2 linked regions of the Arabidopsis thaliana genome follow. The protein of the gene in region 2 interacts with the protein of the main gene of each other region in a pairwise test. Each region holds a gene or a part of one and is shown on either strand. Other genes may lie near its edges.

Region 1 (8,587 bases), on a different chromosome or scaffold from region 2:
CTTTTGTAATTAGTTATAAACCTTCTCACTTTCAATGAAATTCACATTCATATAAGTTTAAATTTTAAATTAAAATATTGGTCAGCTATAGACTATAGTAAGTATATTAAATAATAATAACATTTTTTGTGGACAAAGAGAATTCGGGTTTTGGGGTTTTGGCAAAGGAAAGAAATGGTCATATGTGGAACACTACGTGCCACTTTTCATGCAATAACATGCAAATATTAGGTCAGCCACTAGGAATAGAATAAGTTGAATAGTTTTTTACGATGATAAGAGTAAGCGGGAAGCCATAATAGACCACTATCCCAAAACTTTAATCTGCTTCCAACTCATTATGGGACCAACTAATACAAAATGATATGTATTCCATGTTCCAACCACTCCAATACGAATTACGAAGCAAGCGTGTCTCAGTGTCTGAGTGCGACTGCCTTCTCTCTATATATAAGAGATATACATAGTGAATTAAACATCTTAATTATACTGATCTTTATCATGTTGACTAGATTTAAGAAACAAAATAATAAGATGGTTAGGGCAAATATAGTGAGCATGGTTCTGTTGATGCATGCCATCGTTGGGTTTCCTTTTCATGCGAGGGGATTAAGTATGACTTACTACATGATGAGCTGTCCTTTCGCTGAACAGATTGTGAAGAACAGTGTTAACAATGCTCTTCAAGCCGATCCCACTTTAGCCGCTGGTCTTATCCGTATGTTGTTCCACGACTGTTTCATCGAGGTACTTAACGTTTTCTGTTTAATTAATTGTGTTTTTTTCGTAGAAAAACCCTTAAAATTAATGTGTAATTTTTGGTTCATAATAAGGGATGTGATGCGTCAATTCTGCTAGATTCAACGAAAGACAACACTGCGGAAAAGGATTCGCCTGCGAATCTGAGTCTACGTGGCTACGAGATCATCGATGATGCAAAGGAGAAAATCGAGAATAGATGTCCAGGAGTTGTATCATGCGCAGATATAGTTGCCATGGCTGCTAGAGATGCTGTCTTTTGGGTAATTTATTTGATCACGTTTTTGAATTACCTTTATGTGATTATAGTAAATATGATTAATTAGTGTACTTAACATAATTAGTAATTGAAATTGTTAGGCTGGTGGTCCATATTATGACATACCGAAAGGAAGGTTTGATGGTAAAAGATCAAAGATAGAAGATACAAGAAATCTACCTTCACCTTTTCTTAATGCCTCTCAACTCATTCAAACTTTTGGCCAACGTGGTTTCACTCCACAAGATGTTGTTGCTCTCTCTGGTCAGTTCTTTAAAGAACTAATATATGTGTATTGTGTGTGATAATCTAATTTGGTTTTAACTTAATAATTTGTGGGGATATATATATAGGAGCACATACCCTAGGAGTTGCACGATGCTCCTCCTTCAAGGCTAGACTTACCGTCCCAGACTCTTCATTAGACTCGACTTTTGCAAACACTCTCTCTAAAACATGCAGCGCGGGTGACAATGCAGAGCAACCCTTTGATGCTACGCGCAACGATTTCGACAATGCTTACTTCAATGCGCTTCAGATGAAATCAGGAGTCCTCTTTTCAGACCAAACTTTATTCAACACACCAAGGACCAGGAATCTTGTTAACGGCTATGCACTTAACCAAGCCAAGTTCTTCTTTGATTTCCAACAGGCCATGCGCAAGATGAGCAATCTTGATGTTAAACTTGGCTCTCAAGGTGAAGTCCGTCAAAATTGTCGGAGTATTAATTAGGCTAGACCACATCTACTTACGATTTTTGTATTTATAATAAGTTCTCTACTCTTGTTATATGAAGAATCATGAATCTTCTAGGCTACTATGTAAAAATTGTGTACTCTCGTAATATGCAGTTGTATACTTATTGCTTGTGTGGTTCAGATATCCATCAAAAAGTAATATACTTTGGTTGCATTTTCTTGTCCAATTGCTATTTAAAGGCAAAAGTCTCCTTTTCTTCTGAACAATCTCCGGATCTAGAAATCACATGATAACACAGAAACCGGTAAGAAAAGAAACCTGACGCACGGTGAAAAAGAATAATTGATGGGATACATATTTGTGAATCAAGTGCGCAACAATCCTCAAGTGGTGAGCTTAAGACATGTTTGGGTTTTAGCTTTCAACAACATTCAAATCCTTTTTCATCATATAACACTTACAAACCCAATCTGATCCTCATGTATTCACTTAAGAACCAATAATATGGAGCAGCAGAAGCTAAAACCCTCAATAAATACAGAGAAAAACAAAATACAGAAAAAACATTCGTGTTTCGAATCTTATCTTGGACCCGAGGGGTATTCGTTTTCGATCTGGGAAGTGGAATCGCCAATGATCCAGCCAGACACGGCTGGATGGTGGGTTGGGTAGTTGAAATCTTGTCTGAACATTTCCTCCTTTTGCCACTCTTCCCATCTCTCAGCTAAACCATCTCCTTCAAGCATTCTTACAACTTCAGACATTTTGGGTCTTTCCATTGGTGAACTCTGAGTGCAGAGTAAAGCCACTTGGATTAGCTGCTCCACTTCTTCGTCTTTGTAATTACCCTGAAGATCAACATCTACTAGTGCTTCCAATTTCTTCTCTTTTAACAACCCTTTCACCTGTCGAAATGAATAATTAACACAAATAGAGGTAACACAGATAATGAACTATACAAGTGGGAAACTCATATATGTATATACCCAGTCTAGTAACATGACATCATCATCATTCGCGAGGCGAGCAAGATCAAAAGCCCTTTGTCCAGTGATAAGCTCAAGAAGCATGACTCCATACCCAAAGACATCGGTTTTCTCTGATGATTTTCCAGTGGAAAGGTACTCAGGGGCTATATGACCAATTGTCCCACGCACTGCGGTTGTCACATGTGTGTCTTTGTAGTCCATGAGTTTTGCAAGTCCAAAATCCCCAACCACGGCTTCAAACTCTTCATCCAACAAAATATTTGCAGCTTTCACATCTCGATGAATAATCTTTGGGTCGCAATGATCATGTAAATACGCAAGCCCTCTTGCAGATCCCAACGCAATACGCTGTCTCTTTGGCCAATCAAGTGGTGGCTGGGACTCGGGACGTTCTAAGGAGAAAATAAAATATAAGATTACTACGGATAAAAAGGCAACCATTGGACGGAAATATTGCAGTCAAAGAAAAAGGCACAAGATGAGAGATACCTCTTAAACAGGAGGCAACACTTCCATTAGCCATGTAGGGATAAACAAGCAATCTTTCGGTTGGAGTCATGCAAAATCCACGAAGCCGAAGCAAGTTTCTGTGAACCGCCATACTAATCATCTCAACCTCTGTCTGGAACTGCAGTTCGCCACCTTGGGTGCGCTCCTCTTTTAGCCTTTTAACGGCCACTAAAGTACCATCAGCTAACCGTCCTTTATAAACTTTACCAAAACCACCTCTACCCAATATGTTCTTGTTGCTAAAATTATCCGAAGCAACTTGTAGTTCACGCAATGAAAACCTCTTCAGTTGTCCTAAATGAACTTCTGGGTCCTCTTCAGCTGCAAAAAGACGGTAATAAAAAAAAATCAGCAAGAGAAGTGTTAATGAGGAAACAGGTAAAGCAAGTTTAGCTAACCTGGTACATCAAAGAAGTGGTCCTGCGGCTTTTTCCTTCGCCACCAAGCTAGTGCAATGGCCGGAACAGCAAATAGAAGTGCAGCACCTGCAGCAACTCCTCCCGCAATCGCTCCAGTAATTCTATTACTCCCTGCAAGAATGAAATGAACAATCTCTTTCTTAATACTTAATGGATCTGCTTAAAATGTTTACTTATTCAGTTGAATAACATTTCAAAGACAAAGACATATACAAAAAAAAACCTGCAGGTGATGGCGGTGTAGGAGAGATAGGAGGCGGTGGAGATGCAGGAAGGGGAGTCAACTTGGTGTTGGCAAAACTGCAAAATTTCAAATAATTAATCAAACATTCTGACCTCTCCACCAAGATTTAAACTAGGAGCAGGATGCAAAACCTGATTGGAGTGAAAAGTGAAAAGGAACCATTAACAGGAATATCTCCGGTGAGAGGATTGTTTGAGAGATCCCTGCATTATAAGATGATATCATTTTCTGACTTAATGCCAAGATCGGCCAAACAATAATCAGAAACATGAACACAGAGGAATTTGAGAGAGATAAAGTTACACTCACAGAACTTGTAGCGTCAGGACAGCAGTCAAAGACCTTGGAATTTCTCCAGATAAGCTATTGTTATTAAGACGCCTAACCACCAATACAAAAAGAGAATGTCATGAATAAGTGGAAATACATTAACCAGTAATGAGTTTATAGTGAGAGCAAAAATACAAACTTTAAAAGACTTTCAAAAGTAGGGGTTGTTCTAAAATCTCATCCAACAGATATGAAGCTGATTGAAAAATCAAGTATATTTTCCTAATTAGCGCGACTTACTACTTTAGATGCGTTCACCCTCTAGATTTACAGAGCACTCACAAATTAATAAGTAACAATAGGGTTTAGCGCTTAAATTCTAAGGCAGAAGAATATTGTTATCTTTGATAGAATTTCATTCTTCCAGAACCAAATCGATTTCATACAAAATAAGCGAGTCAATAACTACCATTGAAGATCACAAAGGTGACACACGAGAACAACCAAAAAGACAGTCACCTGAATTCGGAACTTTGTGTTGTTCCAGTAAAATTAAGCGAACACAAGGATAGAGTTCTGATTCCTTTTACGAAAGCTCATAATTAAAATAGACCATATTATACAACATCCTAGTCTCCAAGAGAACACCTTTTCATCTAGTAAAATAACGTAGCATCTATTTGGCGACACTACTTTCTGACTCCTACAAATGTAACACGTTGCACGAATAGCTTTTACAGGAAGACAAACACGATCAAGGAAACTAAAGACAATAATTAGGCTGCTTATTAAAAACGTATTAAAAGAAGAGAGTAGAATATGGTGCATACAAGAAACGGAGTTTCTTAAGTCGGCCGAGAGTTGATGGAATAGGCCCGCTTAAATTGTTCAAGTAAAGATCCAAGCTCACCAATTCCGTCAGATTTCCAAGCTGTTCTGGGATTGTCCCAGTAATGTTATTGCTATAAAGCTCCCTGTCATTACCATTCTTTAATATTAATTTCACCATAAGATCGGAAAGATATATAACTAATAATCTATGATAATGCAAAATTATGCAGTTATTTGGAACATTGTAACATTTTTAACATCCCACATACACCAAAAGTTAAAAGACGGCCTTTTAAAGAAAAGATGACTTACAAGTACTGCAAGTTTGGAAGCTGACCAAGTTGCATTACGAGCTGTCCAGATAGATTTGCATTCCCAAGGTCACTGAGCAAAAATGAAGTTCAAGTAAATTCTCAGTAGATGCGAAAATCCGAATCATCTTGGCTAGATATAGAAAGAAACTTACACACGTGTAACACTATTGTCGCTATTGCAAGTAACATGAAACCATGTACATGGAGTAACAAGAGTAGCATCCCAACTTTGAAGCACCTTATTAGGGTCGGCTAAACTGTTTTTCAGTGCACTTAGAGCATCACCTACAATTAACCAAAGAAGAAGAAAAAATCAAACTTTGCAATCATCAAGTGTCACGAGGATACATAATCACTGGAATCAGTCGAAACAGATGTAACCCAAATATAACTCAAGTCAATACAGCAAAACAAGTAACAGATAAGTTAAAAATGCCTTCTTTAGGTGAGAACAAGCTCTCATAAGCCTATACTAATCAAAATACTCAACAAGGGAAACTAATTTAATTGGAAAGAATGAAAAATTGAAAGAGAATGAGAGAGAAAGGGGAAACCTTCGGCGTTGCCCGAGACTCTGAGAACCAAATCCAAAACGAGAATCAACCAAAAGAAGCAAGGGATCATTAATCTTCGTTCCATTTTATCCTCAAGAGATTAAAAACAAACCCTAGAACTATCCCTCATCAGAGAAAATCCATCATTGTTAAAACCCCTGATAAAAGGGATCTCGAATCCTTCGATTAAGCTACCACCCACACAAGGTAATACCAAGATGATGAAATTAGAAGCAGAATACGAGAAAAGCCCTCTCAACGCGTATCCACCCGTTGACTTAATTTGAAGAGAAAATCAAAATACCCAAATCGATTAATCGCGGAAACCAAAAAAGCAAAAAAAAAAGAAACTGAAGCTAGACTTTTCCGATTAGAAGGAACGCCGAGATCGCTGACCGTTGACTACTTAATGCTGAGAAGAGAGAAAACTGAGATAGAGAAAACGAAAGGAGGAAGAAGATATTTCCTGGAAATATACTAAAAAAGGGTCGAAACAAAGAGAGATGAGAGAGAGGAGAGAAACCAAGTTATCGCCGAGAGCAAGGAAGGAAGACGAATTTTAATTATTTTCTTTGCTTAAAGAAGGGATTTTACTGGGTTGAGTTGTTGTACTGTGAAAACTATATTAAAAAAATGACATTTAAGATTGAGAAAACGACAAAGAGGATGATGACGTGGACGAGCATTTTCAAAGCTTTTTTAGAGCTAGTCAAAGTCAAAGACGCACGACTTCATTCCGAATCATGTTTGTTATGTTCGCCCACCTTATCATCATCCATCATATGACATTAGATATAAACCATGATGGTCATGAACTCATGATAGTTGATAGTGAGTTATATACCATCATCATAATCCTAATTACCGGCCCAGCTCTATTTTTTCGGGCTTTTATTGTTTATTGGGCTTGGTCTTAATAGCAAGTTCGTTTATTCCAAAGATGAGCAAAAGCTTTTTTGATTTTTTTATTCTTTTTTAAAGATTATAGCTCTAAAAAATTACAATTCAATATTGAAAAATGTAAGCTGAATAATCCATCTGGTCCAATGAATTAAACAAAACAAAAAACATTATTGTATCATATATAATTTACTGGTTGATAGTTTAACTATTTATGCCATTTAATATTTTTAAAAGAACAAAAGTAATTTTGAGGAAAAATGAAATAAAAAACAAAAAACACAAACGGACAGAGTATATGTTGCCAGCAATAAAATACGGACATATACCTTAGTTTGGCATTAAAAAACAAAACAAAAACACAACAAACAACTCAGTACAGTAGGCTATTTAAAGGCCCATCAGATTAAGACTTGGAAGTCTGACGAGATTGTAACGCCTCACAATCCTTCCTACCCGTGAGTCCGTGACCGATTGTGTATCATCCATCTTCTTTCTTCTTCTTTCTTCTTCTTTCTTCTTCTTTTATATATAAACCAAAATATAATTCGTGAAGACTTTCACTTTCTCCTTGCCACTTTTTGACGATTCACATGCACCATCCAATATTTTAGTGCCCTTTTCACGACATATCTGTGTCTGTATCCAATTTTCTTATTTACTACTACTTTTTTCTATTTATATATACAAAAATAATCAAAGAGAGAGACGAATTTTCGAGGTAAGGTATCTATCGACTTTCTATCTTCCTCCACCTTTGTTTGTTGTCACCACCACACTACGCTAATCATTGCCACACACATGCATAATTCTCTCCAACCATCTAAAAGTCCCACTTTAGCATTCTTCTGTTTGTAATTTTATCTCAGAGCTTGCTTCATGGGCTTTTGAGTTTTCTCTCTGTTTCCAAAAAACAATGGAACCGGAGAAGAATCCGACCACAGTATTGAGTGCCATTACAAGACCTTCGTGGGCGTTTCTTCTCCTTGTTTTCACCGTCTTAGCGATTCTCTCTCTCCAAATCTCTTCCAATTCTTTTCTCCCTCTCTGGATCCCGACTTCTCAATATGACGACCCTGTTACCTGCTCCGGGTTTTTCAATCACGACCCGTTCCCTAACCGGATCGTTATGTCGATTACCGATTTCGGCGGTGTTGGAGACGGAAAGACGTCGAACACGGCCGCTTTCCGCCGCGCCGTAAGGCACCTTGAAGGTTTTGCGGCGGAGGGTGGGGCCCAGCTCAATGTCCCGGAGGGCACGTGGCTTTCTGGAAGCTTCAACCTCACCAGCAATTTCACGCTCTTTCTCGAACGCGGCGCTCTCATTTTGGGATCCAAGGTTATATCAAAGTTTTGAATTCTTTAACACATTGATAAAGTTTACTTTTTTTTTGCTTTGTTTGTTGTTGATTGGTTCTGAACAGTAGTAGTATTAAGAGAATTCAATTAGTTGTTGATTGCTCTGTGAGAATCCAAAATTTGGGTTTGTGATTGCTTTTTGATTTGTGGGTTCATAAAGTTTTGTTGGTAAACACTATATTCATTTCGCTAATCACGGTCAGTGGTTAAAATGGACCCACCATTGTTTGATACAGCAAAAAAGCTGTTATTTTTGAGTGGGGATAGTCTCTAGTAGTGCGAAATCTGGATTTGCATATCAAAAGTCAGTGTTTTGCATGAATTTTGTATTAACACTTGTTAATTTCGGATTGACTTGTTCAATGAATGTTCTTGTGATGTCTCGATAGTAGCTGTAACAAAAAAAAAGTCAAGTGGAAGAAACCATTTTTATATGATCATATTCCAAGAAAGGAGTTAGATGTATAGACAACTTTTGT
Region 2 (6,785 bases):
CCAAATCCTCAAGAACTTGTGAGGTTACAATGCTCAAGTCAGAAGTCATTTTACCTGCATATATAATCGAATGTTGACACTTACTTAACGTAACTCACGGCATAAGTATGATTATACCCTGGCAAGTGGCAAAATCAGAACCCAAAAGACTTTGTACTTACAATTCTTGGAATGTTCATCAGAAGAAGATAAGTTTCTCCGTTTACTTCTTCTGACATCATCTATCGTTTTCTCTTTTTCCAATACATCATCTGCAGATCTCTTGTCCACATACTCCAGACGAAGCTAAAATCAGACAGAGAAAAGTTAAGAGTTAAAAGATTAACAGAAAATTCAATCATTCAGCTATAGTGCTTTCCATTAAACTAACTATAACAAAAAAGGAGAAAGGAACTCACAACAGTCTTTCCATTTCCGGAATCATCATCTTCGATATCACTTTCTTTCAATTTACGTGCATAATGTCCAATATTGCCAGTCTCAACATACCGTGATGCGTCTTTGAAGGATTGAAAGATATACTCACTTTTAGGGTCAATGAAGAACTGCAAAATCAAAAACAAGACATGTCCAAGAAGAATCACATAAGAGATTTTCTAAAGTGAGCTTATGTGGAAAAGACACAAAATGTACTTTTGATCAAAGATGATGTTATCACAAAGAGAGTAGAGGGTACAAACTGGATCTCTTCTGGTTTTACGGCCTGATCTATTTGTTATTTCAAGTTTCTTGATCCATCCTTCAGGTAAACCTTGAGCAGCAGATTTCTCAACTATAACCTGTATCACTTAAACATAAAGAGTTTTTCATTTTAAGAGACGTATAAATGTCAAATCTTTTTAGGGATCACAAAGAACAAAGTAACATTGTCTTCAAACATATAAACAACACAAAACTCTCAGATATTCTGTGCTTATGAACTTTCCATGAACAACCTAATACCAGACCCTTGCCAATATAAATGTGATTCATCTCAAAACTTTCCCTTTGCATACGCGAGAGGTACAAAGTTTTAGTGCTTACGAATATTACAGTATTCTCTCGAAGATGGTTACTTAACAATCCAAATTCATTTTCACAAGATCTATTACTCTTAATGTCTAACCATCTCAGTAAAGTAACCATATAATTCCTTTTCACACGAAGTAAACTAAGAGACAAACTTTTAAAAATTCAAGAAAAACTTAAAAAAAATAAACATCTCCAATCATGCACACAAGTAATAAGAGCTTTCTAAGCCACAGTGGAACCAAGTAAAATCAATTGAGTTCAAAATGTAGCTACATAACAAAGCTTTGATCAAACTACATCATCTATAACAAAACAAAAAGTCAGGTCAAGACCATTTTCAGACACTTAATCAACTAGACCTCTTCTCTTTTGATCACATGTCATCTTTCCCTAAAAGCTAAGCATTGCATGCAAGAGAAAATCACTCAAACGTCACAAAAGACTTCACCTTTTTCCATCATTACAAAATCATACAATCAGAAACTAAGAGTGAATCAAAGTATTTGGCACTTCAATAAAGATAACTACAATTTCCACAAAAGGAGCTAACAAGAACCAAACATGCAAAAGACAATCAAAATTAAGAAAAGGGTTTAAAACTCATAAATCACCTTATCCTTTCTCCCATTCTTCCTCACTCTAATTTCCACTTTCCTCTCAGCCGACAAACCATCAGAGATCCCTTCTCCGTTCATCTCTCCGGTCACCGTAAAACCACTTTCCTCTCTCTCTTGTATCCCTGATTCACAACTCAGAATGGTTTATCAACTCAAAACGCCAAAACCCATCAAGAATTGTCGGATTCAGATAATGGACACCGTCGGAAGTTATAAAGAAGGAACCTTTTTATTTTGTCTGATTGTGTGATTTGGTTCTGTCTCCACTAAGGTAAATAAGAAAAATAGTAGGATTTAATGGGGAAGAAGAAGAAAGGGTTTACACGTGTAGTGTGGAGGAGTTTCAATGGAGATTCCCCGATTTGAGAGGTTCAAGAAAACTCAGTCCACCAGCACGCGAGTCTTCTGGCCCAACGCTTCTCTTCTCTGATTGCAATTTAGCTCATTTTCTCCATTTTATTCTCTTGTACTGTTTGTTGTTTACTTCCATTGTTATTGTCCCAATTTTAAAAAAACTTACACTGTATATTAAAAAACATTTGCTTGATTTGGTTATAAAATCTAATTGCAAATCTATTTATGATGATATTTTTTGGGAAACATTTAAGACTTTGTTATCATTTTTTGACCCAAAAGAAAAAAAAAATGTTATTATTGTAAATGTTAGGATTGGAAGATTTATCATGAGAAGAAAAGTGAAAAATACTAATATAGTCAATTATGAATTTTCATAAATCTGAATTAAATATAATTTATTTTTACTTAATATATAGTTTTAATTACTTTTTGTTTAAATTTATGTTATTAAATTTGGTATTTGTATATCATGTTTAAAAGATTTAGAAGTATGATTTTATTCTATTTCTAGTGATTTAATTATTGAAACTTTGATTTTTAAAAAAGTTTATGTATTAATAAATTATTTGGATTGAAGGTTATATCAATGTTATAAAATGTGTTTTAAAATCTGAAAAGTGGTTGATTTTTTCTTTTTAAATTCTGCATCCACGAAACTTATTTTTCTTAAAACTTATTTTTCTTTTCGAGGTTATGATTCTTTTTAGTTTTTTTTATCAAATTTCATGATGAAAATAACTGAATTGAACATCAAAGATTTTCAGAAAATACTCTACTGCTTTTTTCTTAACTATATTCTAGCCATTTACATATCTAAGCTTGATGTCTTTTCTATTTCGTCGAAAATCTATCTATTTTACGGCAGAGACTTGAAACCCGAATTTTGACATATCAAAAACACTAACACAATCCCATGTACTACATTATCATTTGTATTTTACTTATAGAAGAAAATAACTTTTTATTTAAAAATTGTATGGTAAAAATAAAGATTAGTTCCCTAATAACTATATAAAAAATCTTATTCGGTCGTTTTAGCTGTATTTAACTTTTAAACCCAAGAAAGAAAAAAATCAATCAACCAAGGAAGTAGTACAACAACAAGAGTCAAAACCCAACAACTCTCTATCTAGCACAAAAGCCTGACTTTTACAAAGACAAGCCTTTTCAACACACTACTGATCTTGAGAATCCTCTCTTCAAAGCCATGGCGTTAGAACTATGGCAAACTCTCAAAGAAGCAATCCATGCTTACACAGGTCTTTCTCCTGTTGTCTTCTTCACTGCTCTAGCTCTCGCCTTCGCCATTTACCAAGTCATCTCAGGCTGGTTTGCCTCGCCGTTCGATGATGTTAACCGACATCAGAGAGCTAGATCCTTGGCTCAAGAGGAGGAGCCACCGATTCCTCAGCCTGTTCAAGTCGGTGAGATCACGGAGGAGGAGCTTAAACAGTACGATGGCTCTGATCCTCAAAAGCCCCTTCTTATGGCTATCAAACATCAGATCTATGATGTTACACAAAGCAGGTGAAATTTCTGAATCTAAAAAGCGAAATTAGGTTATGGGTTTGATTCATTGTTTCCTCTAATCTTGTTTTAGCGTATAAAGACTTGGACTTTGCATACTTTTATGATCTATAAAGCTGTGAGAATCGTAAAGTTGTTCACTTTGAGAATCAATTTCACAAAGGAGTTTTGTTTTGAGAATCAATTTCAGAAAAGCACATTGGAAAAGTTGATCCTTTTTGTTACTTTTATACAAGAGAAAGATTCAAAGGAATATGTTTTTGTTGTTGATGTTTGCTAGTGATTGAGATCATGTTGTGAAATATCTTAGCTCTATCTTCGAGTATAATCAATCTCTTAGACTGGTTTTAGTGTCTCAAGTGTTGTGTTTGTAATGAAAGGTTGGATTTTTATTGTCTTCCTCAAATCTCGTTTTACTCTATAACAACTTGGACTTTGCATAGTTTTATCTATGAAGCTGTGATATCCATAAAGTTGTTCACTTTGAGAATCAATTTCACAAAAGTTGTGCTTTTCTATGTAATCGAGCTTTTGAGTGGCATAGTGTTAATTTACCCTTTTGCTTCCTTCATACAAGAACAGGATTCAAAGGAAGTTGTAATATGTTCTTGTTGTTAATGTCTGCTTGTGGTTGAGATCTTTAGTGAAAACTCTTTGTTAATCTTTGAGTATAATGAATTGATCATCTTCTTATGATAGTCTAGTCTGGTTTTTGCGTATTTAAATTAAATGTTGTGTTTGTGATGAAAGGTTTGATATTTATTGGTTTTGTAGGATGTTCTACGGACCAGGAGGACCATATGCTTTGTTTGCAGGGAAAGACGCTAGCCGAGCTCTTGCAAAGATGTCATTTGAGGAGAAAGACTTGACTTGGGATGTCTCTGGTCTTGGTCCCTTTGAGCTAGATGCTCTTCAAGATTGGGAGTACAAGTTCATGAGCAAGTATGCTAAGGTTGGTACTGTCAAAGTGGCTGGTTCAGAACCTGAAACCGCATCTGTCTCTGAACCCACAGAGAATGTTGAGCAAGATGCTCATGTAACCACAACGCCTGGGAAGACCGTTGTTGATAAGAGTGATGATGCTCCTGCTGAGACTGTGTTGAAGAAGGAGGAGTAGAGCCCATTTCCAAGATTTGCTCTGATTTGTCATAGAGACCAGTTTTATGAAAAGGATTGTAGAATCTCTAATGTTGAAGTGTCAATGATAATCTTGTTTTACTTTCCCAAAAAATAAAGATTGCTGATTAATGATAAGAAAAAAATGTTTTATAAACTGCATATCAGAAGGCGTTGCATTGCATGATTACAATGTAGTCGAGTTCATACTTGTGGTTTGTGAATCTGCATGATTAATCTGGAAACTAAAACATTAAACCTGATCCTTTTTTTGTAAATTCTCTTCATCCTTTTGGTTACTACTATAGGAAGTTTTTAAGTTGGTCACTAAATCCATATCAATTGGGAAATAGAGTATTCAATTGTGATCCTCGATGTTTAAGAATTGGGGCAAAGAAGACAGTTGACCACGTTCTTCTGAGTGTTCCTTGCATTGCAGATATGTGCGCTCGATCTCCTCAGCACTATGGAAATTTCGGTGTCGTCGGTATTTGCAAATTTGGATATTCTTTTCTTGGAACAACCTGGCTCTTCAAAAGATTTAACCTTTCCATGGATTATTTGATACATTGGAAGGCACGTAATGATAAGGTTTTTAATGATACATTTGAGAAACTGCACAGCTGCAAGAACATAAGACAAGTACCTTTGAACAACGGTCTTTATTACAAAAACTGGAGTTTGAAGTCACAAATTAATGTTTTATAAAATAGTTCATTTTTTTTGGTAAACATGTGAAGATTTTATAGATAGTTGATGGAAGGAGACTCGATATGTTTTCAAATATAGGTTGGATCGGTTTTCATAACGACATAGAAGGATCTCTTTTTAGAGTTAGGAATCTATGCATAAGCCTTTCTCCTATGATCAAGCATCAAAGTACATCGGTAACTATCTCAATGGACTGTTCAAAGCTAAAAGAAAATTGACAACTTCCTGAACATTTTAGCCAATTTTCTCAACATATTTGGAATGGTTTGCAAGACTCAAATATTTGCTCTCTTCTGGCTTTCTGTTATTCTTGTAATTAGAATTGTCTTGCTAACTTGTTAGCTAGCATGTTGTTCACCACTACATTTTCATTATTTTAAGTATGTAAGACCTATAGTTCTATATACACCATCGATTTGGATTACCGAACCATTTTGATATATGTGTATGTATTTCAGTCGACAAAAAAAAAAAACTTCTAAGATCAGTTTAAACTGAATTTTGGTTATCGCCTTCTCTGCGATCATGGATTGGGTTGGACCTAGACATATGGGCTTAAGATACGTTTTACAAGCTGTCATGATGAATACAATTATTGTCTTAAGTGTCACGAGATATTGAAATCGTCAAAATAAGCCAAACATGCACCAAGATATCAACGCACATGTAGTTATTATATAGCAATAGTATTCTAAACGTAATGAACCGTCGATGTATCGACGTGTACTTTTTGCATTCACTTTCTTTTGTCTTCAAAAATAAAATGAAAATCAGAAATAAAGAGGTGTAATATTATCCACGTAGGAGTTGAGATCTACGACGACCAAACTAATCGTTAGGAAAGGTTTCAAAATTTGAGGTTCTTATCCAACCAACGCTAACGTAATGCTAATCTCGTGTTTCCATTTCTTCTTCCTTTAATGCGATGTCTCTCTGCACCCAATAATTAAAAAAAAAGTTTCTTTACATTTTTTCTTCTAAGAGAATTTTTTTGGCAAGTTGGTGACATGGTGTACTTCCCATACTTATCCATATCCCATTGCTCTAACTTTTTGTTGCTAAAAGCTAACTTAAGGAGTGATGAAGATTATAACTCATAATCAATCTAAAAGATAGACTCTTAACCATTTCTAATCACCACAATGTTCAAAGATCATATTTGGAGCTAGTGGTTATTTAGCCATGTGCATGGTCTTATTTTGATAGATTACCTTTTTGGATTGTTTGAACAAAAACATAAATACATGTAGCTAATTTCGATATATTAATTACTTTTCTAGTTGGAACCATTCGGAGAACAGCAAGTACCAATAACGTGAATGCATTTCCATTTAATATCACACAAAAGAAAAGTTCCATGTATCATGAATTTAGCAAATTCCATTTATAAATATTTGGCTTAACTAAAATTATATACATGGTTTCTTCTACATCTAGTAAAAAAAA

Evidence for each region.
Region 1: the proteins of MSBP1 (region 2) and BAK1 interact in a two-hybrid assay, tested with the Arabidopsis thaliana proteins (one study listed by BioGRID).

What each region holds. Positions count from the first base shown.
Region 1 is NC_003075.7:16,084,355-16,092,941, forward strand, and holds BAK1 (BRI1-associated receptor kinase), read right to left. Parts: upstream 6,424-8,587; 5' UTR 5,935-6,423; coding exon 5,850-5,934; intron 5,581-5,849; coding exon 5,448-5,580; intron 5,366-5,447; coding exon 5,294-5,365; intron 5,125-5,293; coding exon 4,981-5,124; intron 4,854-4,980; coding exon 4,713-4,853; intron 4,262-4,712; coding exon 4,190-4,261; intron 4,084-4,189; coding exon 4,012-4,083; intron 3,937-4,011; coding exon 3,860-3,936; intron 3,748-3,859; coding exon 3,616-3,747; intron 3,539-3,615; coding exon 3,197-3,538; intron 3,100-3,196; coding exon 2,705-3,099; intron 2,624-2,704; coding exon 2,300-2,623; 3' UTR 1,957-2,299; downstream 1-1,956. Other genes in the region: AT4G33420 (Peroxidase superfamily protein), read left to right, coding at 361-747, 834-1,022, 1,120-1,282, 1,372-1,751; AT4G33440 (Pectin lyase-like superfamily protein), read left to right, coding at 7,666-8,088.
Region 2 is NC_003076.8:21,209,929-21,216,713, forward strand, and holds MSBP1 (membrane steroid binding protein 1), read left to right. Parts: upstream 1-3,011; 5' UTR 3,012-3,192; coding exon 3,193-3,512; intron 3,513-4,286; coding exon 4,287-4,629; 3' UTR 4,630-4,683; coding exon of another isoform or gene 4,684-4,691; 3' UTR 4,692-4,914; downstream 4,915-6,785. Other genes in the region: MBD13 (methyl-CPG-binding domain protein 13), read right to left, coding at 1-54, 162-285, 399-545, 681-779, 1,623-1,706. UniProt on the Arabidopsis thaliana protein: MSBP1 can bind to multiple steroid compounds with different affinities. Negatively regulates cell elongation and brassinosteroid signaling. May act as a coreceptor with BAK1 and enhances its endocytosis.